Rhinolophus ferrumequinum: one gene and its partners. The protein of the gene in region 3 binds, or shares a complex with, the protein of the main gene of each other region. Links are inferred from orthologs where the notes say so. Each region holds a gene or a part of one and is shown on either strand. Other genes may lie near its edges. The genes, in order: RBM8A, UPF3B, EIF4A3 and ALYREF.

Region 1 (7,139 bases), on a different chromosome or scaffold from region 3:
GCCTCCCGGCCTCAGCCACATCCTTTTCCTCTTTGGTGTCCTCAATGCTGCTCTGGATTCTGTCCTCCATGGGGCATTTGCGCTTGGATGCTGAAGAGGGCACCAAGAACTTAACATAGACTCCTCCAGGGAAGGAGGGTCTGGAAGAACTCCCCGACGGGACATTCAGACCCTTAGACAGATGGAAGTACACACAAACGTGGCAGCAACAGCAGCAGAAATGAAAGAAACATTCCTATAACATCCATTTGCTCCGGACAGAGTATATAGGGACAGAATAATTATTCTTTAACATCATGAGAACATCTCACTGCTCTTCCTATTCTTACTTCCAAGGAAAATAAATACTAAGCAGTGTCTCTACTTAGACCCTTTGAGACTTGAGACTATGTGTAATGTAGATATTCACACAGAATTCAGTCACTGGGAGAAGTATCTTTACAGTGACCCATACTACCTTGTTGGAAATAGCACTTCAGAGCTTCCAATGTTAGAACAGAAAAGTAATTTTAAATGTAGAAAAAAAGAACGGGACATTTATTTGTAACTCACAAGAACCACCAAGCAATAAGGGAAGAGATTAAATACAAACAGTGAGTTCCAGCCCAGCCCTATGTCTCCAAGGCTGGAATCTCTGGAGAGAACACCCGGACAACACAGGACCTGTCAGCGACGCCTCCGGTCTGGACTCCTGCTGCGTCTTCGGCCACCTCTAGGGAAAATGAAGGGAGGGAGGTCCGTCAGAGGGACACAATACAATGTCCTTATTCCATTTCACTCATATTCCCTTCCCCAAGACGGTGTGTGCCCTCTCCACTTTACCTCCTCTTGCTCTTGGGTGGACCCCGAACAAAACACCAGTCCACGCTGATTGGCTGTCCCATCAAATCCTGGCCATTGAGTCCTTCCATAGCAGCCTGGGCCTCCTTGTATGTTTCATACTCAACTAGAGTATAGCCCTAGGGCAAGTGGAAAGGCAGGTATCAAAACCCTCCTATTCCACCGAGCTGTTTTCTACTCAAGTAGGACAGTCCATGTGTATAAACTTTAAACAATGAATATATATCAGAGGGTGCCAAAAAATATATATATACATCTTAAGAAAGGAAAAACTGTGTTAAAATTGTAATACTCAATATATACCGATAACAAAAGATGAATACAAGTCATGTGTATACATGTTTTTGGCACCCCGGTATATCCCTACTGTATTTACAATATGTTGTCTGTTTCTTTCCTAACAAAATCAATTTCCAATGATATTTTATTTCAGCTTTGCTCTTGGCCAACCACACCAAACATGGGAGGCAATGGAGTGTAACTTAGGATACCTTCAGGTATCCTGTACGCCTGTCCAGGTTGAGGTGGATATTTTTTATTTCCCCATATTCTGCAAATTTGTCATGGATGTCTTCTTCCGTGGCTTCTTCATGGACTCCAGTGACAAAGAGAATCCAGCCTTCAACAGCTGTTGGGGAAAGGAGGGAGGTTGTTTGAGCCCATGAGAGAAAAACTTCAAGCAAGATCACAGGAGTGTGAACTCCAGAGACTGGTTAAGCTATCTCTGACCCCTTTCCTACTGGTTTTACTTTATTAGTCCCTCATTCCTACACAGACACCTACAGGCTCCATGTTACTTACAGCGTTGTGGTCCAGGTTCATCGCCATCCTGCTCCACGCTGTCATAATCCTCACGCATCCGCGCTCGAGACCCCTCTTCTAATAAGAAACATACACGAGATCACCGGAAATCCCTTCTCCCACCGTTCCCCAGGAATCAGAATGGGGACTCCAAAACCCGTAGCTCTAGCCGTTCTAGACCCCCCTTTCCCCACAAACACTCACCGGAGCCAAAGCCGCGGCCCTTCCGTTTCTTCGCTTTTTCCTTCAGTTTGTGGATGCTCTCTGCGCCCCATAAGTAAAGAGTAAGTAACAAAAACAACACAATAGTCTCTCTCCCAAGACAACATCTGAAAGCGGACCCCCATCGCCTCCCATCCCAGTCCCTTCCCAGTCCCGCCCCCAGGTTCTGCCCCGAAGGGGGCGGAGTCTCCACTCCAACCGAAACCCGGTTCCCCGCCTCCCACCCTCCCTGCCGGGAAGAATGGAAATTGTTTTCCTAGTACGCCCTTCTGTCGCACCTTCCCCGCTTCCCGCAGCCGCCTCCACCGTCCTCACCGTCCCCATCCTCATCCATGGCGAAATCTTCGCCCCCGGCCTCGTGAAGATCCAGCACATCCGCCATCTTGCCTTCGTTCTAATTCTCGTCTGTGCCGCTCAGGAACTAAGCATCTCGGGAAACTGTCGCGGAGGGGAAAGGTCGCCAGTCAAGATAACCAATCAAAAGCCTACTCTAAGTCCCGCCCATCGGTGCGGTGAAAATACGTCCTGGAGGCGGGCTTAGTCCGGGAAGAGCCGGAAGTGTTCCTGTAGCCATTTTGAGCAGGTCGTGAGCTGGAAACAGTGTTGCCGTGAGAGACAAGCTAGGGGTAGGCGGAGATGGTGGCTTCCTCCTATTTAAGGCTGCCTTGGAGAAAAACTACTGACGATGGAGCTCAGCCTAGTTTCTTTAGTAGATGGCTGCCTTCCGTCTGTTTTCACCCCATACTAGGAAATGGAAGTTGATAAAAGTTTTTTCTCTCAAAACTTCCAGGCCTGTACCCTGTTCCTGGGAGCAGCCGGATCTGTGATGGAAGCATTGTTAAAAAATGGTTCAGTCAGCAATGCTGGCTCCAAGAGCTGCTTCTGGAACACACAGTGACGGCACCGAATTTCTCTCTTAAAGAAACTAACAAACCTAATTGTCTTGAAATTGGATTGGTGAAAAAAGATAAACCAACTTTTTCTTTTTTTAAAAAAAAGCTAAACTCCCAAACTCTTCCCACCACCTCTGGGAATTAAAGGAAAAAAAAAAAAGGCATGGCTTCAAACAAAATAGGAGCTTTAGCTTTTTTGAGAGCATGCGGGTATTTCATGTTTAAAAACCTAGGAGAAGAGGCAAAACCCATATTGTCCCCAAATTCTGGAACCCTGACACAGGCCTTAAACAATAGTAGACTGCAGATTCCCTTATTAATTTTTTAATCAAACAGTTATGCATGCCTGTATATGCGTGTGTCTAATATTAGAGGAGGTGCTGGCAATACAAGGAAAAATAATTGCATTATCAACAATCATAATTACATTTGTAAGTGATAACTGCTATCACAAAGGACTCCGGCAGTACAAAGAAAGTGCCTAATAGGACTGGGGGTAAGGGAAGTCCATGTAAGGGACAGCTTCGGTTTGAACAGGGCCTTTAAGATTTGGTAGTTTTCCAGTCAATGTAGTTGTATTGAGACCAGGAGACACTAATCTATTCTCCACAGTAGGTAGCGGGATCTTCTTCAAAATTAGTTGGTCACATCCCCCTATTAAAAACCCTTCCTTGAATTATTTTTGCACTTTGAATAAAGTTCAAACTCACAGCCTGCCCTGCCTATGTCTCCAACCTCTTCCATCACCATTCTTCCCTCTCATGCATTACGCTCTCCCTACACTTGCCCTCAACTCGGTTGTATTGCACTGTTTCCCATCGCAGGACTTTATGCAGCTTTCTGTTTCTGATGGTCTTACTCCAGCTCTTCACATGGCTAGTTCAACCCCATCCTTTGTGTCTCCCTAAAATACTATGGTCACCCAAAGGGGTCTTCTCTATCCTATCCTTCACTCTGTTTATGCCTTCATGGAACTTAAATCAGAATCCTTAATTACCTTGTTTACTTTCTAATTTGTTTAATGTGTGTTTTTCCCATTAGAATGTAATCCTTATGTCAAGAGACTCATATTTACAACTGTATTCGCAAAGTTTAGAACAGTGCCTGGCTCAAAGTAGACATTTGGTACTTACTGAATTAATGATTATCAGAATAGCAAGAAATTCTGTATGCTTGATGCTGTGTGACTAGGAAATAAAGCTGGAAATACAGTTTAAGGCCAATGCTGAAGATTCTGGAACTTATCCTGAAGGAAATAAATTTCCCTACTTCAAGTATTTGCATATTCATTATTTTTAACATTTGTAAATGGGCCTTATTCTATTTTTATTAGCATTTTTCCTTAAATAGACTGACTTTTTAAACAAATTTACACTAAATTTAGATATCACTATCATATGTGGAAAACCTATGTTTTTTACTACAAATTCAGATAAAAACGTAACTAGTAAAGATGAAAAATGTTTGCCCATCTACCACCCAAAGTCATCACAGGTAATAGTAAGGGTTCATATATAAAACTTTGGGAAATACTGCTAAAGGTGAAGATAGCTAAGTGATTATTTAAGCAAAGGAGTGGTACAGTCGTAAGTATTTTAGAAAGAAATCTGACAGTAATGTGGAGGATGTTAAAAATGAAGGCAGAGACTAGTTAGGAAACTATTGCAGTGGTCCAGCCCAGAGATGATAAAGGACTGAATTAAGGCAATAAATATAGACAAAACAGATTAGAATGTTTACACAGGAGGTAAATGCAACAGTAAGTGGCTTATTAGATGATGCTAGGGAAGAGTTAAAGATGGATCTGGGGTTCTAGCTTAGGTAACTGGGTAGATAATAATTCCAATAACAGATCTGGGGAATCAGGAGCATGTATGGAGAATTGGATTTTATTTTGGATATGTGAGTTCACAGAGCTTCTGTTATATTCAGGTGGTGATGTTCAATATATGGAAATATAGATGTTAAGACTCAAAATAGGTTGGGGTGGAAGAAATAGATTTGAGAGTCATGTATGATACAGTTTAGACCACCATGATGGGTGAGATTGCCAGTGATATTGTGTAGAGCTCAAGGAGAAAGGATTAAAGACAAAATCTAGGCTCCTCAAATGTCTGGAAATGGAGAGGCAAAATGTCTTCCCCCAGCAGTACAATTTTATTTCTACCACCCAAAAAAATACTAATAAAAATTCTTTTTTAGTATACCTATATGTAAGAGAAAGGGTTATTTTCGAGCTCCTCTGATACATAGGTCTCAAGAAAGAGTCAATCTGGCTCACTAGACAAAAATCTATTTTTAATTGTATAAAATTATACATATAAAATACATAGAAAGTACTAAAAAGATAAGTAAAATCTTTAACAGCAAAAGTGTACAGATCAGGGAACAATTTTTCTCAAGTCCTTTGAGATCTTACTTGTTGGTATTCTAGAAAAACAAATCCAGGAAGTACGAGGACAAGTTCTTCCCACAACTCACACCCCTTAACACTTCCCCAAGAAAGGAGCATAGGAGAAATGAGGGTTTGTGATTTCCAGATTATAAATATCAATAAAAACTGAATAGACACACCTATTTTTAAATGTAGGAGCCTCTGCTCCAACCCTACATGTGCTTCATGGAACAGAGAGAAGGGGTGTGGAGAATTCAAGGAAGTCCCTTTCAAGAACTAGTAACAATTGTTGCTAGAGTCCTTACCTCTGATCCCATATGTACTGGTCACCAAGATGATTTCAAACGCAAGAAAGCTGACTTCCATCTTGTCCCTGTCTGATCCAAAAGAACAAACTGTGGCCTGTTTCCTAACCTATTTCTGAAAGCAAAGTGTATAACTGTTAAATGGGAAGTCTAATTGTAAGCACATTATACTTCCCAAGTTCAGTTTAGAAAGTGCATTGAGCTGAACTATAGTATAAAGGAGACTACAGAAACAAGGGGGAATTATACCTTAGAAGACCTACAAAAAATACTCCCAAAGGTGAATGCTTTAGCTGTTCTCCAGATCCCATCTCTCCTATTCCACCCAGGAGAGAGGTGGGCGGAGAGAACGGTATTAAAAAGCAATCCCTGATAGCTGATTATTGATTCTCTTTCCCTTCCTGCAGTCTCCCAAGGTTCCAATTAGGAAGTGCCATAATGCCAAAGTCTTCTCTGATTTTCCTGATCTACTCATGCTTTAATAGTGTGGAAGAAGAGGAGAGAAAACAAATGTGAATCTAAGGTAGTAGACAGCAGCAACTTCATGGCAGAGAGAGGAACATGGTCCTCTCCAAATAGGATAGGTCATTTTTCCAAAGAACAAAATAATGGGAGGAGAGAGAAGAGGGAAATAGGTTTTACCTTTTATCAATCTCTGCAGGCAGGAAGGTCTAAATACAGGGCTTAACTAAGCTGTGTGAGCAGGGGAGGAAGAGGAGGGAAAAGTGAAATACTGAAAACAAGCAACTTCAACCCTGACCCCTTCTGTAGTGTAGAGTACGTCCAGGCATCTGGACTACCGGTATGGTATCTCTGCCCCAGATGCAATTTAGGTGATAATCCCCTACAGATTGTGTTTATACTTCCTCTTGTTCCTGGGCACTTTCTCAGGAATACTTTAAAAACAAGAAACCGTATCTCCACTTCCTTCCAAATAATAAAGTAAAGAAGCCTCAAAATGAAGGACCGATAGGAGTCAAGAGAGGGGAGTAAGGTAGTGGTGGGGAGGGGTGGTGTAAGTTAGGAAATACCGTTACTGGAGGAACAATTCTGTACCAAGTAGGCCCAACTCAAGATAAATCAAAGCAAAAGGCTTCGGACTCATCATAACCTGTTTGAGTCTAAGAAAAGCAGGAATGGGGTGGGGTGCACATAGCCCTTATTCAAGCTCCCTGGAATTTTAAAAGGAGGAGACATGAACACTTAGTCCATCGTCTCATGCTACTGAAATGACTACATAGTTACTAGGAGTGTAAGAGACAACAAAGCTCCAAAGACAGCCTGCTCTTCTTGTAAAGTGGTGTGGAGATGTTTCAAATGAAACTACATCCAAAAACTAGAAGTAAGAAAGGGGATCTCTTAGCAAATAGGAATCCAGGTGTAGAATCCAGGTGTAGAATTTATACACATATATATATCTCTATATTTTAAAGTATAAAATTGAGAAAGTATGTACAGAAATCACACTAAGTCTTAGAAAGGACATATAAAAAAGAGCCTGGAGAGGACGGAGAGTATGTGGGTGGATGCCTAGCAGTTGGAAGAATGCATGTTGCCCAACTGCCCAGCAGCCAACATGAGAATATCTTTCTTCTCCTTGTGGAAGCGCAGCTCCTTGCCTGCCAGCCGGGCTTCATCCAGCTCTCGCTCAGTAGAGGCCAGCTCTCTAGACAGTGCCCCTGG
Region 2 (7,390 bases), on a different chromosome or scaffold from region 3:
ACTGGCATATAGACATAAGCCAGAATAAAGTAAGTAGAATTGACCAGAAGGCATCACAAAGCAGTCATGGAGGAAACATAATTTTGGAAAGCCTGGTACATGCAGAATCACATTAGTTTAATAACTGATGTGTTTGAAAATGAATAGATAACCCAGACCAAAGCAGAACGAAACTGTGGAAGATAGGCTGAAGAAAACGGAAGTGAGGCCAGACTATGGAGGGTCCTGACTACCAGGCTAAGGAGTTTGGACTTTTTTTTTTTTTTAAAAAAAACTTTTATTTATTTAAGTTTGTTTTTCCAGGACCCATCAGCTCCAAGTCAAGTAGTTGTTTCAATCTAGTTGTAGAGGTCACAGCTCACAGTGGTCCATGTGGGGATCTAACCGGCTGCCCGGAGTTTGGACTTTTTCACAACTATTATTTTAAATGACTATTTCCAAAAAGATTAATTTTATGGCAGTTAGACTGAATTACACAGAAAAGGAAAAAAAGGAAAACCCTGTAAGTTTAGAGACAGTGGTTGTCTAAGCATTAGGTGATGATATCAAATATGAAAATATTAGTTAGACTGGATGAATAAGACATTAAGAAACAAATTTAAAAGATTCATCAATTCTTTAAATGTAAGGGATAAAAAGGAGGAAAGAGTTAAACACAACTCAGAGATTTCCAGGTTAAGTCACTAGGAAACCATTGCTATCTACGGAATATAGTTGCTGGAGGGGAGAAGTAGCTAGTTTGTGGGGATTTATAAAAGTTGGACAGTGGCAATCCTACTTTTACAGGCATATTCCCTGGTAAAGCTTTCATTTTCACTAACTTTGAAGTAATACTGAAAACAACAAAACTCAACAAAAAGACACATCATTCACTATGATTGCAAAGCCAAAGAAAAGTGACAAATGGCAGTGAGGACATTCTCTGGCTAAATGTTGCAAGCCGCAGAAAATAAATAGAGTTAAGGCAGAAATTTTTCTTCTCTTTAGACTCCTGGATACAAAGTGGGAGATCATCAAATTCGATGTTTTAATTACATACAATTTAGAATGTTAAACAGTATTCCAGCATGGAACTATTGGCTTAAGTTATTTGAATTAAGTAAACAAATGTTGATCCCTGAAGCAAGATGAGAAATGTTTAAACTTGCCATACAAGTTTAAAGAGTCACTTATGAGTATAACTGCTGAAACTGGTCAAACAACAGATTTTCTAATTCAGGGCAAAAAAATTGTCACAGGAGGAGAAAACAGGCAATTTCATTCAGTTGATCAAACTATAGAAATAACGGGTTAATAAAAATACCAGAGGACTGTGAAAAGACACATATCTATGTATAAGATTATAATAGGTTTGTCAATAGGTTAAGTCTTTAAATGTTGCACGTTTTATCATCCAGGATTTTAGAAAAGCTATCAAGGCATTAAGAAAACACTGTGATAACACACATTGTCTTAAACACAAATGACAAAGAAACTCTTTTAGTTACTAGAACTCACCTTTATTGTCAAGGAATACATAACCATCAAAGCGATCCCTGAACAAAATAATGTCCTCTTGATTTTTAAAGTTGATGTATGCTCTGGCATACATATGAGGATACAGACTGCAGAGAGGAAAGCAATTATGTAAATATGCTTGCAGGTGTCTGGCTGAATTGTAAGAATGCACATATTAAAGAGACAGGCTCAAAACTCAAATGGAAAACAGTAGGATAAAAAAGAATGGAAGAAACCTTTTTCATTTACCCCCCTTTATTTATTTATTTTACCTAGTATCATTAGAAAAAAACTCAAAATAATCATGCTCTGGCATAGGCTGAAGATGTTCCTGAAGCTGCTCCTTGGTCAAAGTGGGAGGTAATCTCCGAATTACCACCTTCAGAAATGAATAAGTAAAATAAAATTAGTACAAATCAATTTTCAGTCATACATGAATGAATCACCATCCCTGAAGAAAGCTGTGCTTTGAAAGATGAGATCATTTATAAAAACCCAGGAGAAAATAGTCTCCTAATGTTCAGAATTAATAAAAAATAGTAACACAGTTTTTAAAAACTCTTAGAAATGAGAACTGTCTGGACCAAGGAAAATCTCAGGTTGAAGCCCCGAAGTTTACCAGGTTTCCACATCATTTTATATCACCCATTTTTCAATAGATGTAGTGGTAAGAAATTAGTAGGCCAACCCTGGTCTTCTGTGGGTGCCACGAACTCTTGATTTATTATTTCCCTACCACATCCAACATCCTAAAACAAAACCCTTCCTCATTCAGCATAAAGAATTCAAAACTCTAAGGAATATCCCGAATGCCCTCATTGTTCCCAAAATAGGATGCACCCGATCCGGCCCCCAGACCATTAATTTCCCCATACTCCTTCAACTCGCCTCCATTAATACTCCTATCACAAACTACTCCCACCCTTGATAGTCCCTTCAGTATTTAATAATTTCCCCCAATTAATGTTTTAATTCCTCATTCTCTTCATTATCGCTCCCCACCCCTCCCATTATCTCACAGCTCTGACCTAAACCCTTCTCCATCTGGGAATCCCCTTTCCCTCACTCCCACCCCGGGGCTTGGCCGGGAGGGGCTCCATCCATTTCGGTCCAGAGATTAAGACAGGGTGATGCGGTTTTCACACAGGGGAAGAAATAGAAGGGTCGACCGGGAGAGGAAGAGGGCAACCCCATTCCCAACCATCCTCCATGGGTGGCGAACGCGTCCCGCCCTCTCACGGGCCAACGGCGGACCAGGCACCTTGCTCAGCGCCTCCCTCTTCTCCTTGTTCCGATCCTGCTTATCTTCCCCTTTGGTGCTGTCCCCGGAAGCCCCACCGCCGCTGCCTGTGGCCCCGGGGGGAGTCAAGAGAGTTACTCGCTTCTCCTTAGGCCTATGCTCCTTCTCTTCCTTCATGGCCACTGCTTTGCTCCTCACAGTCGAAGCTCGGCCCAAACGCCCATACGCGGAGCAGCTAACGACTGCCGGCCCACCTCCGTCAAGACTCCGCCCCCACCAAATGCCCCTAGTGATAAGACGGCCCCGCATTCCATTGGGCCTCGTCAGGATCTCGCGAGACTACAGGGCGCCCTGCTTCCTCTGGAGGAGAGGTTTGAATACCTGGTCTTAAATTCACCCAGCCCAATCCGCGCACCGCCCAGTCCCCTCGCGGCGCAGCAATTCCTCCATCTTGACTACAAGCACTCTTTCCTGGACTACAAATCCCGGCATGCAAAGCAGTTACCCGCTTCTGGCTGGGAGCTCTGGAGCCTTAGGTATCTCAGGGTCTCTATTTTTAAGTAAAAGGAATACTTCAATATCGAATGTTTAGTGTTTCTCAGATCGAAAGATAGGTTCTGCGTGCTGTCCTTCATATCGTGTTCCTCTGATAAACCCGATGTTATCCAAAGTGTACCTCACTAGGGGAAACAATTTGTGTTTTCTATCATTGATTCTGAGGGGAAGCAGAAATTGCCAACCCAAAATGTCTTTTGGGATATTGATTATTTTAAGCTGGTTATTTTTTAATAAAAAGACTCAGGCAGGACCTTTCACCTTCTGCCTAACTGCCTGTTCCGACGGAGTCTGAGTTGTTCTAACATTTGTGCCTGAGAAGCCACAAGCCCAAAGAACACACCAGGTAACTGGGTGCAAGATAGGTATTAGTGAGACTTACAGACTGGGAACAGTCGCCAGTGGTGGCCAGCCAGAGGAGTAGCATTCTGCACACAGGCGCAGAAGCAAAGTTATATAAGTACAGTAAAACAAAGAGCATTCCATGGGAGAAATCATCTGCAGGCCCTGCAGGCCTGCTGTCATGCAGTAGCATTCCCATGGAGCCAGGAAACCTTGACTGCCAGCTACCTTATCTGCCTGTGGACAGGTCCCTACATCCCGCCCCCTCATCATAGCTCCCAGATTCTTGCAGGTTGAAGATGTACATTGTAACCAGACACCACAACAACAACATAAGCAAAGGAAAAACAATAACAGGTCCAGGAGGAAAGCAACAATACCCAAAAAATGTGAACAGCCAGGAGCGAGTGAGGGAGGCTAACTAATCAGAAAAGGGGTCATATATAGGGAGCTCTGCTTTATCATGGGCCCTGGATTCTCAGTAGTGACATGGGAGGGGTTTTAAGACAAAGGTTGGGGATATTACTAGTCTCTATTCTATACCAATACTCCACGGGGCTAAGATACCCAAGATACCCAACCACCAAGGCCTGGTTTGCCAGTGCCATGGCCAAGAGACCGTGTGTGTTCCTGTGGGTAAGTCTTGCGGCAGCAGCAAGAAGAGGTTGCTTCTGGTGCCTCACTGAGGCATGAGACTGTGTGGCCCAATCACTTGAATTCAGAGGGCCTGGTAGGGCCCAGGTGTCAGGAGAGCAAATGAGCTGGGCCTTCCTCTTTCTTCCAGGGGAGTCATGGATGGTCCTGAGGGGCTGACGCAGCCCGGTGAGGCTGTCTGCCTCATGATTTCCAGGTGGGGTATTTAACTTTGCATGAGCTGGGATCCCCTTCTTAACCAGTCTACATAATGGCCTAAGGATTTAGACCAAGTGGGGGATGAAGGGTCGCCCAGGAAGCCCCAAAAAGTCTGTAACTGGGGGACAAATGAGGGGACGGGAAAAGACTGTATTTTGTCAGTAACTGCTTCTGGCATGACTTTTGTCTTACTCGCCCACGTAACACCCAAGAATTTGACAGAGAACCCAGGCCCTTGCACTTCGGTACAGTTCACTGCTCATCCTTGTTGCTCCAGGTGGGGAATCAGCGTTCCAGCTGCTTGCTCTGGATCTGAAAGAGACACATAAGGTAACATTATGTCATCTATATAGTGAAACAGGTGCACCGAGACAGGCTTTTACCAGAGCTGAAGATCAACTTGCCACGAGGCCATGGCACATAGTGGGACTGTGTAGGTAGCCTTGGAGGAGGACGGTAAATGTCCATTGTTGCCCTCCCCATATGAAGGCAACTTGGTCTTGACTAGCTATACTGAAAAAAACATCAGCCAGATCTATGACAAAATGGTATATTCCCAGGGCTTGTCCAATGCCATCTAGCAATATTAGGTACAGCTGCATATGCGGGGGAGAGGGGGCAGTTACCTTATTCAATTCCCGATAGTCTACAGTCATCCTCCAAGTGCCATCTAGTTTTCACACGGGCCACACAGAGCTGTTGAAGGCGCTGTGGGTTGGGTGAACAATGCCCACTTTTGCCAACTCCTGTATAGTTTGGGTTATCTCTTCTCCCCAGCAGGTGATATTGCCAAGTATTTGTTATGCAACGCGGGGATGGGAGTCTCAAACGAGATCATTTGGCATGTCCCTAGGTGATTGCCTTCACCACCCTGCATCACAGTCTAAATTCCCCTGCTGTTGTGTTAAGTGTAAGGCTTGCCAGAATGTCCACGCCCTAGATGTATTCAGGCATGGGTGAGATATGCACTACATATCGTTTAGAGGGGAGTTGGCCAATTTGTAGGTATATTTTAGCCCTAATAGTGCTTCCTCCACAGGTCCCTGGAAATAGTTGGTGTTGCCATATATCAAAGTGCATTCAGCTCCGGTATCAACAAGAGCTAAAACCTTCTGTTTATTCTTGGAAGACCAGTGGATGGTCAGTTCTACATGAAACCTCCGATTCTCAGCGTACACCCTGACCTGGAGTCCGGGGCCTTGGCCTCCATCCTACTGCAAAAGGTATGTGTCTGGCAACTCGCCAGCCTGTCCCCATACTGTGCGTACCGCAGCAATGAGCCACTCCATTAGAGAATGGTTGCCCTGGTTTTGAGCCAACCTATGGCAGTTCTGTAACCTTTGTCACAGGGACGGATGCACTGTCACGACGGCTAGCTTTTCCATCTCGCCTGGGGAGCAGAGAATGTTGTCTGCTCCCTTATCCCATAAACGTAGTAGCCAAGCGGAGACTGGCTCTCCAGGGCTCTGTCTGTACCACCTCCCCAGCTCCTGCAACTCAGTGGGAGTGTAAGGGGTGTAGGTTGTGAACTAAATCACAGCTGGGTTGCCTGCAGCAACGCCCCCGGGGTCACGTTTTACCCTTTGCTTCAAGATTGGCCAGGCTAGGGGTTTGGGAGCTACGTTGTCTCCACTCACTTCCTCCGCCTCTGCCTCAGACTCTCCACTGTGGGGCTCCTCTTCTAACAGGCGGACCCGGGCTTCCAGAGCCTCCAACCGGGACACCTGGTCCGGCACCTGGATCATTTCATTAAGCGCACTTTCCGTTTTGAGACTCAACGCCATGAGGAACATCCAGTCCACGCAGCCGGCTGTAGCCTTCGCCTCCTCCGGCAACCGCTCAGCCAGAGCCTGCAGGGCCCTCTCCACGGTGGCCGGAGAGCCATCCATGTCCTCCCACCCCTCCTTGGGGGTCCAACTCCTGAGAACAGTGGCCAACGGACACCATACACTGTGTGGGGTCAAGCCATGTGGCAGGACCTCTGGGACCTAGGGCAGAGAAAGGAGGTGACCCTAATGCATGTCACAGGTCAGTCCCCTTTAGTGTCCCCAGGTAATGATGAAGCAGATGCCCTAGCACGGGTCTGATGGTTAGAATGGGCTCCTGCCACTGATGTGGCCCATTGGCTGCATAGGAAATTGCAGCACGCTGGAAGCCGAACAATGTGGCAGGTGAGCAGATGCTGGGGTCTGCCTTTGAAATGGCAGGAGATAGCAGATGCCTGCTATGACTGTGCCGTCTGTGCCCAGGACAGCCCCCAAAGGTGGAGGATCCACTGGGAGACACAGCAGATTACACGAGGGAGGGTGCCCCTCACTCGCTGGCAAGTGGATTATATTGGTCCCCTGCCTAAGGCCCGCAATGTGATGTATGCGTTCACAGCAGTGGACACTGCTACAGGGTTGATGTTTGCTTGGCCGTGTCCAGCTGCGGATCAGCGGCATGCATTGGTCGCTCTTACACGGCTGTGCGCCCTCTATGGTCACCCCCAAGTCATTGAAAGTGACAGGGGTACCCATTTTATGGGGCAAGAAGTGCAGCGCTGGGCTGCCAGGATGGACGTGCAATGGTTCTTTCATACCCCGTATAACCCACAAGTAGCTGGCATGATTGAACGCTATAATGGCCTTTTGAAGCAAGGTCTCCGGGTGTCAAAACACCCTCCCACGATGCGTGACTGGGACTTGCGTCCATGGGACATCTTGAGAATCCTGAATGAGAGACCACAGAAGGGAGGACCCGCACCAGTAGAACCTCTGCTACATCGAACGGCCGCTCCCATTCAGTTAAAAGTTACCACAAGTGAGACTTTGTTAAAGCCAGGCTACGGCAGAAATGGAAACATTTTGCTGCCAGCACCCACATACTTGAAAGCAGGGGAACGGCAGCAATGGACTTGGCCCT
Region 3 (7,830 bases):
GGCAGCCTTACCCATAATGTAAGCAACTGCGTTCCTTACGTTATCTACTATATTCTTACAATAAAGTAGCTGGAAAAAAGAAAATGTTACCAATAAACCGTAAGGGAGAGAATAATACCTTCAGCGTATTTACTGAATACAATCGCGTGTAAGTGGCACTACACAGCTCACAGCCGTGTTGTTCCAGGGTCACCTGAGCTGGCTTTACCAGAGCATGTGACCCCTCCGTGCGAGCAGACTTACTGTGCGATGACGTCTCTCCCTTTAATGATCTGCTTGATAGCTCGCTGCTGGATTGCCGATGGCTTTTCAAATCCTGTAAAGAAAACCAGAACAAATTAGCTCGAACCTCTAGCCCCACATCTTTACACCCATATACTGTAAGCTCCTTGGGACAGAGATGGCATCTTCTTTTAACCCCCACCCCACCCCTCCTAACCCCATGTCCAACATACCAAGCGCTCAAGAAACAGCTGCTGAAATTGGGCAGAAGTGGCCTTTTATACTGACTGACGCGGGCCCTTATTTTACAAGGAACACCCTTGCAGAGTATAACGACTCCTAGTTGGGTTGAAAACACACAAAATGGTGGTGGTGGTACTCCTGGAGAAAGGGTGGGGGAGGCCCACATTTTAGCCTATGTAATTACTTCTGTGCTGTCTGACTACCTTACAATCACCTGCGTTGCTTTTCTTTTTTACATTACTTTTGAATTAAAACAAGGAAAATCAATTCATTAATGCTGTAACCACCACTCTTTCGTGTCAGCATTACGTCTGCAGGTTGTTTGCTTCGTCTGCAACTGCACATAAGCTACTGTTCAGGCGGCCCTGTGGGGTGGTCAGCGCCCGGTTCCTCCCTGTCGTGACGCGGGGGCGACAGGAAAGGCACCACCACCACCCATCCCTCTCGCACAGCAGGGTAAGTGACCGAGGGAGGAGCCCACTCAGAAGGAACAGAAATATTGTCCAAGTAAACAAAACCGCATGTACCAAACTGTATTTTAACTAGTTTGGTAGTACTTTAAAATGTAGTACAATTTCCCATCTAACACTAAAGCAACTACAATAGGTGATTTAAACCCCTCATGATGACCAAGCACATGGACGGGAAACTAAAAACCGCGTTTGACGGCAGGGCTGTCAGCCTCACTCCAAAGCCTGACTGCAACTTCCCCTGCCATCCTCTCAGCACCTGCTCTGCTCTGTCTACACCGCGGTGATGTCAAGGGCTGTTGGGTAAAAGATGGCCCAGTCCCAGGTGTGAGGCAGATGCAGACCACTCCCATCGGCACCCCCGACCCCACCTCTTTCAGGGCTCCCCACTTAGACACCTGCCTCCCCGGCATCTCCAGCGGGATGGCTTGCAGGCCCCTCAAGTTCACCATGTCCTAGACAGAGCCCCTGATTTTGCCTCCCTCGGGCGCTCCCCACCTAAGCAAATGGCAGCACCACCCGCCTGTTAAGCCATTAAGCCATATTTAGGCCAGTAGCAGAAACCGCATCTTCAAAGCCATCATGTCTTGATCCTGTGTTGCTTTATCTCCTGGGGGGCTGTGATCAGTGCACCCGGGCGGTGTGTGACCTGGGGCCGGGGCGTGGAGCCCTGAAACCCTGTCACTGACGGGGGCACAGCCTCGTTCACCCTCCTATAAAACTCCATCCCCCTTTGCTCGGGGGGTTATGATCTTCTCCCTCTGCTGGCTCCACCAGCCTGACCTCCTGCAGCTCAAACAGCCAAATAAACTCTAACAGACCACTCTTGGTCTCCCGCGAATCATTCCTCTGGTGTGTCTACCACCACCGGCTCAACACAGGAATCGCATGCCCCCTTTCCTCTGCTGCTCGGACTCGGCCCCTCAGGGAGCCTCGTAGCACCCGTCTCCGGGGGGTGCTCACCATCACCTCTGCCCTGGCCAGGAGCAAAAGCTTCCTAACTCGTCCCCCTGCCCCTCTCCTGCCCTACCTCCCCTCAAATCCAGACACCCGGATAACATCTGTAAGTAACTCTGACGGCCTCACCTCCTGGCTTCCATCCTCCAATGGCTGCCCACTGCTCTTACAAATCAAACTCAAACGTTTTATCACCTAACGTGACGCTTTTCAAAAGCTGGCCCTGGTCCCCTCTCCCAGCTCATCATCCCTGGGCTCCCAGGACAGCAGGCTTCTTTCTGTTCCTGGACTGCACCCCGCTCAGGGAACGCGGGGCCCCGGCATCGGCTGCTCCCGCGGCCCAATTCCACCCCCGTCTTCTCGTAACGGGCTCCCTGCTCCAGCTCTCAGCTCACCGTCGACTCCTCCTGGGAGCCCCCTCGTCTACCGGCTCTATTTCAACCCCCGCTCCCCCCAAGTCACACTCCAGGTATCCCGCTTTCTTGTCTTCACAGCCGTTATCACTCCCCGAAGCGACCTGGGCTACGTGCCGTCCTTCCCGCAGACGACGTAAGCTCCCCGGGGCACGAAGGCGCCCGGCTCACCGCTAACGCCGGTACCCGGAGCCGCGCTCGGCCCTAACACCTGCCGGCGCGAGACCGTACCGGCTGAATGAACGACTCGGAAACGCCCGGAAGACTTCGCAGTTCTTGAGGAACCAGCGCGGGGCTCTGCCGCGAGGACCCCACACCGAGCCCACGGACGCGGCGTGGGGACGGCGTGCTGGGGGCGGAGGGCGCCCAGCAGCGGCCCCAGGCCTCGCTCCACGCCGGGCCTCAGCTCCGACCCGCGGCGTCCGGCGCCGGCCCCCCCCGCCCGCGCCCCGCGGCCCCCGCCTCGCCCCCCGCGCTCCCGCCCGCGCCCCGGGCCTGCGCCCACTCACCGTAGGCGTAGATGCCGCGCAGCAGATCCTCCCTCAGGCCCATGGTGTCGAACGTGGGGGTCACGTCCACCTCCTCGCTGGTCTCGAACTCCACTTTGGTCATGTCTTCCTCTTTGAGCAGCCGCTTCCGCGCCGAGCCCGAGGTGGCCATCGTGGCTGAGGCCGCCATGATCCCGGGTCGGCTGAGAGCGGAGCGCGCGCGGCAGCGCACAGCGGAAACAGGGCCCGAGGCCGCCGCCGACAGGAACTGACGTCACCGCGCAGGCGCGCGGCTTGCGTAGAGCGTGCGTGCGAGCGTGCGTCAGGGCCGCGCCTCAGCAGGGACGCGGAGCCCCTCGTCCCGCGACGCGGAAGGGTTGCTCGCCCCAGGAAAAGGGGCGGAGTTCCTGATGCTCTCGCGCCAAGTCAGCTCCCGCGGGATCTCACGGTGGGTGGGGCCTCGGGAGTTCGGAGGAAGATGCTTTGGTGCTGAGGCGGCGGCGGCCCCGCGGCCGTGTCCTCCGCGCGGGCCGAGCCCGGGCGCCCCTGTTCCGAATGGAGCCCCAGGCGGCCCTGCCTCAAGTGGCACCCGGGGCGAGGGCCCCCCAGTGCGCACGTCCCCCCGTTTAAACGCTTATTCCGACGTTGGCGCTGGCCGGGGCCGGAGGGCGCGGGCACAACGTGGGAGATGGGTTAGTGCTCATGGCTGAGGTCCCGTGTGCTGGGCCGCGGAGGACGCGTCGCGGGAGGCCACGATCGGCCTGTGAGAGCTGACTTGGCTGTGTGAGCTGCGGGCGGGCGGCGTCCCCGCACCGGGACCCAGCACCGGCTGCGTGACCGTGGGGACGCGCCCGCGTTTGACGCTGCAGCCCCGACCTCCGTAAATTCCTACCCCCGGAGACCACGGCCTTGTGCTGCCCTGGAGGACGTGAACTAGTTGTGCCTCTGCCGGTGGTGCCACCTGACCCTCCACTTCCGGCTGCAGAGCCGGCCTCCCCGCCTGGCCTGTGTCCCCCCCGGGGTACGAACACTGTGTGTCTTTCCCTCTGTGAACGTGACTCCCGCACGCCGCCAGCTCGGTCCTTTCTCGTTGACTCCTTGGCTCGCGTCACCCGGCGCGCCCTCACCCGGGGCCTCTGCCCGGGACTGCCGGAACTCCGGCCCGTGGGGAAGGCGAGTTTAGTTAACGCTGGACGCTCGGGTCACCCGCTACACCCGGCAGCGCAGCGGGCACTGGGTTGCACAGGTTGCCAGCAAAGGAGTGAGGGCTTCTCGGCCAAGCCCTCACCCTGACGTCAGAGTAAGTCCAGTCCTTAGAGCTAATTGACCTGCTAAACGTACCTAAGAAGGATGCCGGTATTAATCAAATATGAAGTACTTATAAAGCCGAGTTTCTTTCTTAGACTTTAAATAGAAGTTCTTAGGTCTTCTCACTCCACGAGGGATCATCCATCCGGTGCCTTCTCGGGGGTTGCGCACACTCTGGTTTTGCCAGCTGCGTGCTTGTCTAGGGCTGTTTGTCAAATGCGCACAGATTCCAAAGACGTCCCAGCTCATGCCTAATGTTTACGTTGATTATGTTGAAATGACATTTTAGATGTACTGACTTACTTAAATTCACTTCACCTGTTTCTTTTTACTATTACAGTGTAGCAACGAGAAACATTTTAATTCTATATGAGATTCTGATTGGTCTTGCTGCCCTAAGTACTTAACGCATGTAAAATAAGCACCAGGAGTGTGGGGGGGACTAGGGAATTGGAGGTTACTGACTTGAGGAATTCTGGCTGTGGGGACAGAGCCCTAAAAAGCAGTTTCCAGGCTCTCGCTCGGCCTCACATAGTAAAGGTGCTGGCTCAGGTAGTAAATGGCCGTCGACTGTGATCAAATGGCCATCAGCTGTGGCTAGTTGGCCGTCAGCTGTAACCAGTGAGCCATTGGCCACTAATATAACTGCTGTGGCTAGCAAGTGGGGGCTAGCAAGAAGAGGGTGGCTGAGTCTGCAAGCGGCGCAGTGAGGATTGAGAATTGTGTGGCTCCTGGTTCCTGTGTCTCCAACCCAGCCGCCAGCAAGAGTATAGTGGTGTGACTCCCCTACCGATGGCTCCGTGGGTGTTCCTTTTTTTTTTTTTAATTTTATTTTTTAAATTTATGGGGGTGACAATTGTTAGTAAAATTACATAGATTTCAGGTGTGCAATTCTGTATCACATCATCCATAAATCACACTGTGTGTTCACCACCCAGAGTCAGCTCCCCTTCCATCACCATAGATTTGATCCCCCTCACCCTCATCCCCCACCCCCCAACCCCCTTACCCTCTGGTAACCACCAAATTACGTTCCCCAGATTAATTTCGTGGGTGTTCCTTTTTGGCCTCACCATATCCTGCATTCTTGTGTGGGGAGCGGGAGGGAGACCCTGCAGGCCGCCCCGCACGACACTGGCTTCACACAACACTGGCTTCGGAGAGGAGGGGAAGAAATGATTGCGCTCTTCTGGTGCCGAGAGGATGATGGCCTCTTCTGCACTTTGGAATTTTTATCTTTTTCGGGATCCACCTACACTTATTTTTTGCCTTCACACTTTTATGGTATTTTATGCTGTTTTCCTGGCAAAGTCCCCTTTGTTGTGTCTGAATACACCTCTAAAGGGTCTCTTCCTTAGGTTTGGGACCAATAACCTTCTAGCTTTCCAGGCCAGAGTCCATGAAAATGACAGAAGCTGTGTGGTGGGGGGGTGTCAAGTCAGTCTCTTGGTGGACGGTGCTCTTGGAGCAATAGGGAACAAAGCGTACTTCGTCTTTGTCCTCTTGGGGTCAGTCTAATCCGGGGGATGACCTCTCCCCCCAGATAGACTCTGTCTCCTGCGCTTCACCTCCCACACCCTTTATATTTGGGGCCAGGTATTATCTCACCTGATTAGACCAATATCAGGGAAGGCCCATGTCTGTTTTGTTCCCCATCACTGCTGTAGCACACAGTAAGTGTGCCTGCATGTCCGGGGCAAGAGGACAGGAGGGACACTGGAGGGGGCCTGAGTTCACGCCAGCGTGTTGGGGAAGACGGATGACGCTGGGCTGCGCCTCCGATCTGCCTCTTTCCCTGGCCCAGGCTGGACTCCCGAGTGCAGTCAGTGAAAGGGGTGGGCCTCGTCCAGGGGCGGGACGAGGTTTCGAGGTTTCGGTGGGTGCTGTAGGGCTGGGCTGAGCTGGATTTCCATGAGTCATCACCACGGGAATTGACATCCTGGATCCAAGGGGCTGTCCCCAAACAGCACCTTCCTGCCAGGAACCCCACCTACTACCTGGTACTCAATGGCAGACTCTTTCTAGGTGCTGCCCTCTCTAACCCACCCACCAGGCGGGCAGCCGACGAAGCTCCGCCTGAACCCGCCGGACTGGACTGCTGACCCCGCACTGCTGGCGTCCAGTATCAGGGCAGCAGATGTGCACACAGCACCCCTGAGATGCTAGACTGGGTGGAGAAAGGACAGACAGTGCTGCCCTCACAGAACCTGTGTTCCAGAACAGGGCAAGCCCAACAAAACATGCAAAACAGGAAGATAATTGCAGGTTTTATAGCCAGTCTGCTGCAAACGAAACGAGGCAAAGTGGAAGGGAGTTAGGAGGTTGCTGACTTACCAGGTGGCTGGAGAAAGGTGCCATATGAATTGTGAGAGGAGGTGGCCACCGAAACACGAGGTGGGGGAGGCGGGGTTCTAGGGAGAAGGGACGGAGTGCAACGACTCCCCGGAGGGGTAGGGTATTGGCACGTCAAAGGACAAGGCCAGGGTGGTTGTGGCATCATGAATGCAGGCGAGGTGGGGAGTGGGAGGAGGGGAACAGGGACAGATCAGGAAAGGTCTTACAGACAAGGAGATGGAGGCTAAAGGCACCGTAGTTGCCACAGTAGCCACTTCAGGGTGCGTTCTTTGCGGGGACAGGAACGCGTTCTGATAATCAGTGTAAAAGATGGCCTGGCTCTGCTATACGAAGGACAAGAATTCTTGTCCTCTGGAGGTCACAGGCTCATAGTGGGGAGGAGGGCAAGAAGCAAACAAGGAACTAGGATATGTAATATGTCAGGGAGCAATGGGTCCAATACAGAAAAATCAGGGCAAGGTGGAGGGACGGCCAGGGTGGGAAGTCTATGATTTTAGATAGAGTGGTCTGGAAAGCCCTCTCTGGAAGGTGGCCCTTGAGTGGAGTCCTGAAGGAGGTGAGGGAAAAAGCATTCCAGGCAGAGCGAACTGCAGGTGCAAAGGCCCTGGGGTAGGAGTGTGCACGGAGCATTCACAGACTAGCAAGGAGGCCCCTGTGTGTGGCATGTTGAACGGGAATTAGGTCATCAAGTACAAGATAAGCAGGGCTTTGTGTCTGGGTCATGGTGAGGACTTGGGGGCTTCTAGATCAAAGGGAAAGACGTGACCGGACTCCCCCTTTAAGAGGATTGCTCTGCCTGCTGTGTTGAGAACTAGCTTTGGGGGCAAGGGAGGAAGCAGCTAGGAGATCATTGCAGGGGTACAGGTAGGTGGTGATCAGGGCACAGCCATGCAGGTGTCAAGCAGCGATCCGATTCTGGACATGTATTAGCCTACCGTGTTTCCCCGAAAATCAGACCAAGCTGCACCATCAGCTCTAATGCGTCTTTTGGAGCAAAACTTGATACAAGACCCGGTGTTATTTTACTATAAAACCGGGTCTTATGTAATATAATATAGTATAATATAATATAATAATACCAGGTCTTATATTAATTTTTGCTTTAAAAGATGTATTAGAGCTGATGATGGTCTGGCTAGGTCTGATTTTTGGGGAAACGCAGTCGAAGAACCAAGACTGTCATCTGAATCTAAATAGTAGTCATCAAATGCTGATTTCAGGTGCATCCATTGGAATTGTAAGATACTTCCCGTACTTGATCATGAGAACCAAAGAAAGTCTCCAGGATTCATCCCAGTCTCCCCAGCACTTTCCCTGAGGGGTTATGATGAACCGGCTGACTGTTCACAAAGGAAGGAGGATCGTCCCCCATCC
Region 4 (6,903 bases), about 1.2 Mb from region 3:
GGCCAAGAGGGCTGGGGCCTCAGGCCCGAGAAGCTTCCGTCCCCAAGCGGCAAGACACCGGAGTGGGCTGCACTGCTGTCTACGGCCTGGCCTGTTCTAGGCCGGCTGTGAGCACAGTGCTACCTTCCACCTCTCAGCCGTTTCTAGCCTGAAAAGGTCCCACCTCCAAGGCCCAGGCACACGCTGCCGGCACCTGGGAGCGCTGCATCTATGGACAGGACACGCCACACAGCTCGTGCTCCAGACACAAGCGTCCCTCTGATTTCCCAAATTCTAGAAAACGCTGTCAGTCAGCGGTGCCAGCGGCGCACAGTGACCTCCCCAGGCCCCCCGAGCAGGGTCCCCACAGACATCCAGGAGCTGACACTCGCTGCTTCCACCCTGTCCTGGGGTGCCTTTCCCCCATGCCACTGCCTTGGGGGCCCTCTACACTTAGCGAGCGCTAGCTACATCCAGAGGTCACTGCTGCACAAACACAAGGGACCTCAGAGACAAGCCAGGCCCAGTGACCAGGGACGTCTTTTCCAGGCAGCAGCTCCATTTGCAATACGTGTCTTAGGTGCAGAGGACAGAAACTGTCTTTGGACCCGTGACCACAGGGCCAGGCCTGGCCGCCACTCTTGACACCAAACACGGGGTGGCGTGACCCTGCAGCACATTAAAGAAAGAACACTACGGCCGAGCCATAAAACAATGCTCTCAAAACCCCACTTAACAACCGCTTGCACAGAACAAGGGGCTAGGAACACGGCCTGCACTCTCCTCCAGCCTCTCAGCACTCTGCAGCCTCCTTGGCACCCCATCTCAGACAGGCGGCCGGGGTGGGTACTGGGTCAGGGACAAACATGGGCTCCTAAGTACGCTTGGCGTCTGCTGAGCACGCACAGTTCCCCACCCAAAGGGCACAGCCATCCACCAAGTCATGAGGGAAAGTGGCCACCGCTCCACCTTCTCATTCACTTGTTCGGGACAATGTTTCTCAACCTTTTAAAAATCCTTTCTAAAACAAAAATGTCCCTTGCTTCCTGAGCTTTTATGACAAAACCACCAGAAAATTATGTGCTCAGCAAATACAAAACATGTCACTCACTCTCCTTCCCAGGCCTGTGCAGGAGGCCACACTGTGTGACACCTGATTTAGATTAGTTCCCACCCCCCCCCACCCCGGGCCCCCCGGGCCTTTCCAACCTCAGAAGAAAGAACGCCCCTTGGAATCACCATATAAAAAGTAGAGTCCCTTACAAATAGAGGATGGAAAACCATGAGCAGGAGCCTGCTAGCCGCCTGGTGGGGCACCCGGCCACCCAGCCACTGCTGCAGAGCACGTGGACAGAGGAACCTGCCGGGGGCACGTGTTGAGCACACGAACACCAGGTCGGTGGCTCCCCCAAAGGCCTGCTAGTGTCTTGATGGAAGTCCTTTTTAGTTAAAACACCCCTCAACAAGACTTACTCCCAGAGCCCTCAGGGCCACGGGGCAGGTTCATCATAGGCTCAGAGGCTGTCGTTCCGCACAGGAGCTCCACTTCAGCCACAGAAACCCAGTGCCACCTCAGCTGTACAGAAAGCACCTCATGCTCATCAGGCGCCTTGAACTTGACAACTGGCTCACTCCACAGGGTCCAAGGATCAGACTCTGAACCCCTACTCTCGCAGCTGGCAGGCCCACATGTGGAGATGCCCAGCCACAGGCCCAGCTGGAATAATACTGGCGGGCTCCTCAGGCAGTGCAGGCCCAGTGGTGCCATCTTTATACAGGCTCACTAGCTCACACTGACCAAGGGCACGGCCACAAAAATGCTTTTGAGGCCTTTTCAGAAAGGAACAATCTGCTGCATAGAAAGTTGCAAGGATTTGCTCCTTCCGGCTCCCACTGTCTCTGTGGTACCCTCAGGAAGGGCGATTTAAAAATAGATTAAATCAAACCAAGCCTTGCGCATCGCTGTTCTCATTAAGTGAAACCTGATCAAGTAGAGCCAATCAATGAGTTCCTAAGATTAAGTCCCACCCATTTGATTAAATCAGGATGGACTGATTCCTGGGTAATGAGATCTCTTTTCACCCAAAGCAGATATAAAGATTAAGCCTAGAAGAAAAAAGTATTTGCACTAAAAGTCCATGGTTTACATTTCACTGTAAGAAGCAAAGCACGGTTACTGTTCTGGGCACTCATGTAGCCCCACGAAGACCTGGTCATTCACAGGGCAGTGAGGAGCTCCTCAGGAGTCCCCAAGCCCCCCTTCCCTCTTGGGACCGCCCTTGTACCCTAGACAAAGCCTTGACCCTTGCTTCTGCTTTGGGTTCACTTGGGTCTGACTAAAAAACTCAATTCATTGGTGCAAAAATCTGCTTTTGACCTAAATATATAATCAAACATTCCTACTTCACAGAACATCCTGACGACAAAGGAACAGGGCAAAAGACATCACAAAGAAGAAATCCAACAAAACTTGATGGTAGGCACTCTGCAAGGTAACACGTGGGTTTCCTCAAGGAGTCAGGTGTCTTTAAAGGGGAAAGAGGGGCGGGGGAAGGGCTGTTCTGAGTAGCTAAGGAGCAGAGTAGTGAAACGGGGAGTCCTGGTTCAGACCACTTGGGGAAGAAGACATTTGGGGACAACCGGAGAAATCTGAATGTGGGCTAGGGATGGGCACAGGTGACACAGAGGAATTCTTAGGTTGTCTGATGTGACAACAGTAGCGTTACATTTAAATGCGACTGAGTGAGTGGGGGGAGGCAACACATGAAGCGAACATGGAAACGTTATTCACTGTTACTCCCTGTGCTCAATGGAGGGCGTATCCTTCTAATATTCCTTTTCTTGTTTGAGAATTTTCAAATGAAAGGTTTTAATGCATCTCTTTGTCCCCTGAGTTTCCCGGCCCAGTTTGATCGTGATAAAAGGCTGTACTGTTTCTCCTTACAAAACTTTTGATGGTGTCTTTATACAAATATGGGCCCAAACCGCCTACCTTTTCTCTGCCAACTTTTCTTGAGAAAAGGGAGACCACAACCCAGGGACTTTGTGCGGGTATTTCTGGGGGAGACAGCACCGCCAGGCGAGTAAACAGAGCTCAAGACACAGCGAGCACAGGGGACACTCACAGTCCGGGCAGCAGCCATTAAAGGCCATCCGGCAGATGCCGCAATTCTCGTCGTTGGCCACCCAGAGCCAAGTGGCCACGCCGTTCCAGCACTTAATCTTCACCTTCATGACGGAGGAGCCTGCGGGCGAGGGGAAGACATCACCTGCTGCCCTTAGTCTGCAGAGCGACAGCATTTAGACACCAAACAAGGGATGCTGCCCGAGGCAGAGGGTCGGCTCTGAGAAACCCTTGTAGCCACCGAGAGGGGGAAAGGCGGCTAAAGGGGTCGCCCGTGGGAGGACCGGAGCCCCGGATACTCGCCACGCACTCAGGGCATCTGCAAAGACCGGCCAAAGGGCGCGCTGGCTTTCGCTACTAAACTGCCACAACGTGCCATACAGCACTTCTTGAAGGACATGACTAACTTGGGGGTGACGGGCAGAGACTCGAACCTCGCTTGCTGTGAGTTCACGCGGGAAACCACCACCCAGCCGGAGTCGCCCGAGGGGAGGGGCGACGAGCCCCGTTCCGCCCCGCCCCGCGCCCAAGCGGACTTAATCGCGCGCAGCACCGCCCGCCTTCAGTTGGCAGCGCCGGAGCCCGCGCGCGAAGCTACAAAAACTACCGCGGCCGCGGCCCGGGACCTGGCAGTGGAGCCCGCTGACCCCCCCCGCGTCCCAGTGCGCACGCGCCGCCCCGGCCCCCACCGCCTCCGCCGGCCTGCAACCAATCGGCGGCCGCTCCGAGAACGCGGCACCGGAAGGCCCCGCGCGTCGCCGGAAGTGACGCGCCGGCGTGCTGACGCGCGGGCTCGAGCCGAGGCCGATTCCGCGCCCGCCATGGCCGACAAAATGGACATGTCTCTGGACGACATCATTAAGCTGAACCGGAGCCAGCGAGGCGGCCGCGGCGGGGGTCGGGGCCGCGGCCGGGCTGGCTCGCAGGGAGGCCGCGGCGGCGGAGCACAGGCCGCCGCGCGAGTGAGTCGGGGCGGCGGTCCCATGCGGAACCGGCCGGCCCTCGCCCGCGGCGCGGCGGGCGGCGGTGGCAGGAACCGACCGGCGCCCTACAGCAGGGTGAGTGCGGAGGCCGCCGGCGGGCCGCGGCAGGGGAGCGGCGCGGCGGGGCGGCGCGCGGCCGAGAGGGCGACGGGCCGGGCCGGGCGGGTGGGCGCGGGCGCGGGCGCTGGGCCGGGCGGGAGGTCGCGCGCCGGCCGGGCCCGGGAGGCGGACACCCTCCCGGCCTTTGTCTGGCCGCCGAGCCTCGTGGCGGCAGGCACTGAGGGGACGTTTCCGCGGCCACACCGGCGGCGAGAAGTTAGTTGGAAAAGTCGCGGGACGTGGGGCCCCGGCAGGGTCGACTGCGGCTCGGCGCGGGCGGGAAGCGGAGGGCTTCAGGCCCCTTTCCGCACTTTCCTCCGGGCCCCGCTGGGAGAGGGTCTTCCAGGGGCAGTGAGGGCGAGGGGCAGCCCTGGAATGCAACTCACGGGTTTCTTTCTGTTGTGTGTTTTCCCCCTTCAGCCGAAACAACTTCCTGACAAGTGGCAACATGACCTTTTCGACAGCGGCTTTGGGGGTGGTGCCGGCGTGGAGACCGGTGGGAAACTGCTGGTGTCCAATCTGGATTTTGGAGTGTCGGACGCTGACATACAGGTAAGAGACAGGATCCTGTCGGTCGGTAGTTGACCCACGCGGAATTGATGGCGTTTGGGATGTGGCCCTGAATCCCTTCCCACCTTAGGACATTGAGCCCTCCCAGACACCCGAGGGCTAGCCACTGTCCCCTGTCAGGGGCTGCTAGGGTGGAGAGCCGAGGTCATGCTAGAGCTGAACCTGCAAGGAGTAGGTCCATTTGTGCTGGAAAACAGGCCCCCAGCCTAGTGTAAGGAGCCGCTGCCCTCCCTTACTAAAACCTGTTCCGTGAGTGAGGTTCTCTGCCAGAGCTTCCCGTTTCTAACAGGAAAAGACTGGTCAGACTCGCGTGGTTCCTGTGTTACTGATGGAGCTGGGCTGCTTGCTTGCTTTACTTTGTGCTTGTTTTCATGATTCGTTGAGAGGAGAAAGACCTACCTCTGTAGAGGTGACAGCACAGAAGCAGGCCAGGGCGTCTTTCTGGCTGTCGGCCGTGAGCCCTGTGTCTTACACGTGCCGGTCCACTCACCACCATCCCTCAGGTCTTGTTAGTAGCATGACTTGCCGACCCATCTTTGGTTGAAGCCTCTTCCCGCCCCCCCCTTTTTCTTTTTCTTTTTTTGATTGAACCTCAAAGGCATTTAAACCTATTTTCTGGTTAAATGACAACATCTTGGGGGTCAGTCCTGGAGATGGCCGGGTCAGGGTTCTGGGCCTTCCTGGGTTCAATTTCCCAGAGCCCAGCTGTGGGAGGACAGAGCAAGGCTGATGAGCACTCACAGTGTCTCAACACTTTTTTTAAGGTGGTTTCTGGCATCCACTGGAAACCGCTTTTGGTGAACTCCACTTCCCGCTGTGTGCCTGCGGCCGGAGTAGCCCCACACTCTGGGTTCCCTCTCCAACTCCCAGCCTGCCTGAGGTCAGGGCAGTTTCCATGGCAGCGCTTGACTTCAGACTTTGCGGCAGGCTTGAGTAGGAGGAGAGGGAAAGGTGAGCCAGAATCTGCCCCGGGGGAGGGGCTGGGTCAGGGCTCCCGAGTCAGGGCCCTTGGAGCTGGTCCACATGTCAGACGGCGCCCCTTGAGCTGTGGTCTTGGCCTTTGCTGTTTGTTGGCACAGTCCGTGGGTGTGTTGTACACTTTCCTTTGCTGAAGGAGATAGTGACCTCATGTCGTGCCCTGCACTGATGGGCTTTGCGGCCCTTCACCTGCATCGTGGTACAGATGTCAGGTCCCCAAGTTGGCAGGAGCCCTCAGGCCCAGCTGCTCCTGGAGGGGGCTGTCCCACCTGCCCCATCCTTGCCCCCATTTCCCACTACCACTGCCCTGCCCCCAGGGAAATCCCCTCAAAGTAGCTCACACTTCCAGGGACTGTCCCTGGGCCAGCAGAAGGAAAAGAGCCCGCTGACAGTTGCTGTTTCTAACTCCCAGGAACTCTTTGCTGAGTTTGGCACTCTGAAGAAAGCGGCCGTGCACTACGACCGCTCCGGACGCAGTCTGGGAACAGCCGACGTGCACTTTGAACGGAAGGCAGACGCCCTGAAAGCTATGAAACAGTACAACGGCGTCCCTCTGGATGGTGCGTTTGGGATTGGACCCAAGAAGACTGAGGGGCCACGCCTGGTTTGTGGAGTTGGGGCTGGCACCCGTCCATGCAGGAATATGGCTCTCCCCTCTGGCTGAGGACACTTTGCACTCGCCCCTTTGTCTCTCTCCCACTCTGCCACTTCTCACGCTGCCCCATACATGTGGACCAACCTCTTGTGAACCCCCACCAGCAAGCTACATCCCTCCCCTCGTTCAGCTCCTTCGGAAGACTCACTCCTGTGAAGCCTTCTCAGCCGCCAGAGTACACCTCTGAGTGCGGGGCTGTAGTCGTAAACAAAGGTACCAGCTCTCCTCCTGGCAGGGCGCCCACACCGTTCCGCCCATGAGCAGCCTGGACACCTGACCAGACACCCTCCTAAGCTGGACTGAGGAGCGAGGAGGTGGTGGTGGGTTGTCGTCGGCGCCGTCTCTTGTCGCGAGCGATCGAGACACGCACGGCCCCTTCCCAGTGCCTGCATGGAGACCGGGGCGTGGTGCCCTGGGTGGGCGTCAGAGGTCTCTAACAGGAACGTGCCCTCTTGTATTCTTTGCCACAGGCCGCCCCATGAACATTCAGCTCGTCACGTCACAGATTGACACAC

What was found.
Region 1: EIF4A3 (region 3) and RBM8A share a complex: the UniProt entries of both Homo sapiens proteins name them as parts of the ALYREF/THOC4-EJC-RNA complex. The link is inferred for Rhinolophus ferrumequinum from reciprocal best matches to the Homo sapiens genes EIF4A3 and RBM8A.
Region 2: EIF4A3 (region 3) and UPF3B share a complex: the UniProt entries of both Homo sapiens proteins name them as parts of the mRNA splicing-dependent exon junction complex. The link is inferred for Rhinolophus ferrumequinum from reciprocal best matches to the Homo sapiens genes EIF4A3 and UPF3B.
Region 4: EIF4A3 (region 3) and ALYREF share a complex: the UniProt entries of both Homo sapiens proteins name them as parts of the ALYREF/THOC4-EJC-RNA complex. The link is inferred for Rhinolophus ferrumequinum from reciprocal best matches to the Homo sapiens genes EIF4A3 and ALYREF.

Annotation. Positions count from the first base shown.
Region 1 is NC_046305.1:50,159,160-50,166,298, forward strand, and holds RBM8A (RNA-binding protein 8A), read right to left. Parts: upstream 2,325-7,139; 5' UTR 2,246-2,324; coding exon 2,179-2,245; intron 1,906-2,178; coding exon 1,846-1,905; intron 1,720-1,845; coding exon 1,642-1,719; intron 1,469-1,641; coding exon 1,332-1,468; intron 960-1,331; coding exon 823-959; intron 713-822; coding exon 667-712; 3' UTR 508-666; downstream 1-507. Other genes in the region: LIX1L (LIX1-like protein), read right to left, coding at 6,987-7,139.
Region 2 is NC_046284.1:37,074,215-37,081,604, reverse strand, and holds the start of UPF3B (regulator of nonsense transcripts 3B), read right to left. Parts: upstream 3,004-7,390; 5' UTR 2,915-3,003; coding exon 2,759-2,914; intron 1,877-2,758; coding exon 1,770-1,876; intron 1,605-1,769; coding exon 1,498-1,604; intron 1-1,497. UniProt on the Homo sapiens protein: Involved in nonsense-mediated decay (NMD) of mRNAs containing premature stop codons by associating with the nuclear exon junction complex (EJC) and serving as link between the EJC core and NMD machinery.
Region 3 is NC_046304.1:53,515,916-53,523,745, forward strand, and holds the start of EIF4A3 (eukaryotic initiation factor 4A-III), read right to left. Parts: upstream 3,020-7,830; 5' UTR 2,984-3,019; coding exon 2,815-2,983; intron 317-2,814; coding exon 244-316; intron 1-243. UniProt on the Homo sapiens protein: ATP-dependent RNA helicase. Involved in pre-mRNA splicing as component of the spliceosome. Core component of the splicing-dependent multiprotein exon junction complex (EJC) deposited at splice junctions on mRNAs.
Region 4 is NC_046304.1:54,671,041-54,677,943, reverse strand, and holds the start of ALYREF (THO complex subunit 4), read left to right. Parts: upstream 1-3,903; 5' UTR 3,904-3,924; coding exon 3,925-4,161; intron 4,162-4,605; coding exon 4,606-4,737; intron 4,738-6,145; coding exon 6,146-6,293; intron 6,294-6,858; coding exon 6,859-6,903. Other genes in the region: ANAPC11 (anaphase-promoting complex subunit 11), read right to left, coding at 3,105-3,213. UniProt on the Homo sapiens protein: Functions as an mRNA export adapter; component of the transcription/export (TREX) complex which is thought to couple mRNA transcription, processing and nuclear export, and specifically associates with spliced mRNA and not with unspliced pre-mRNA.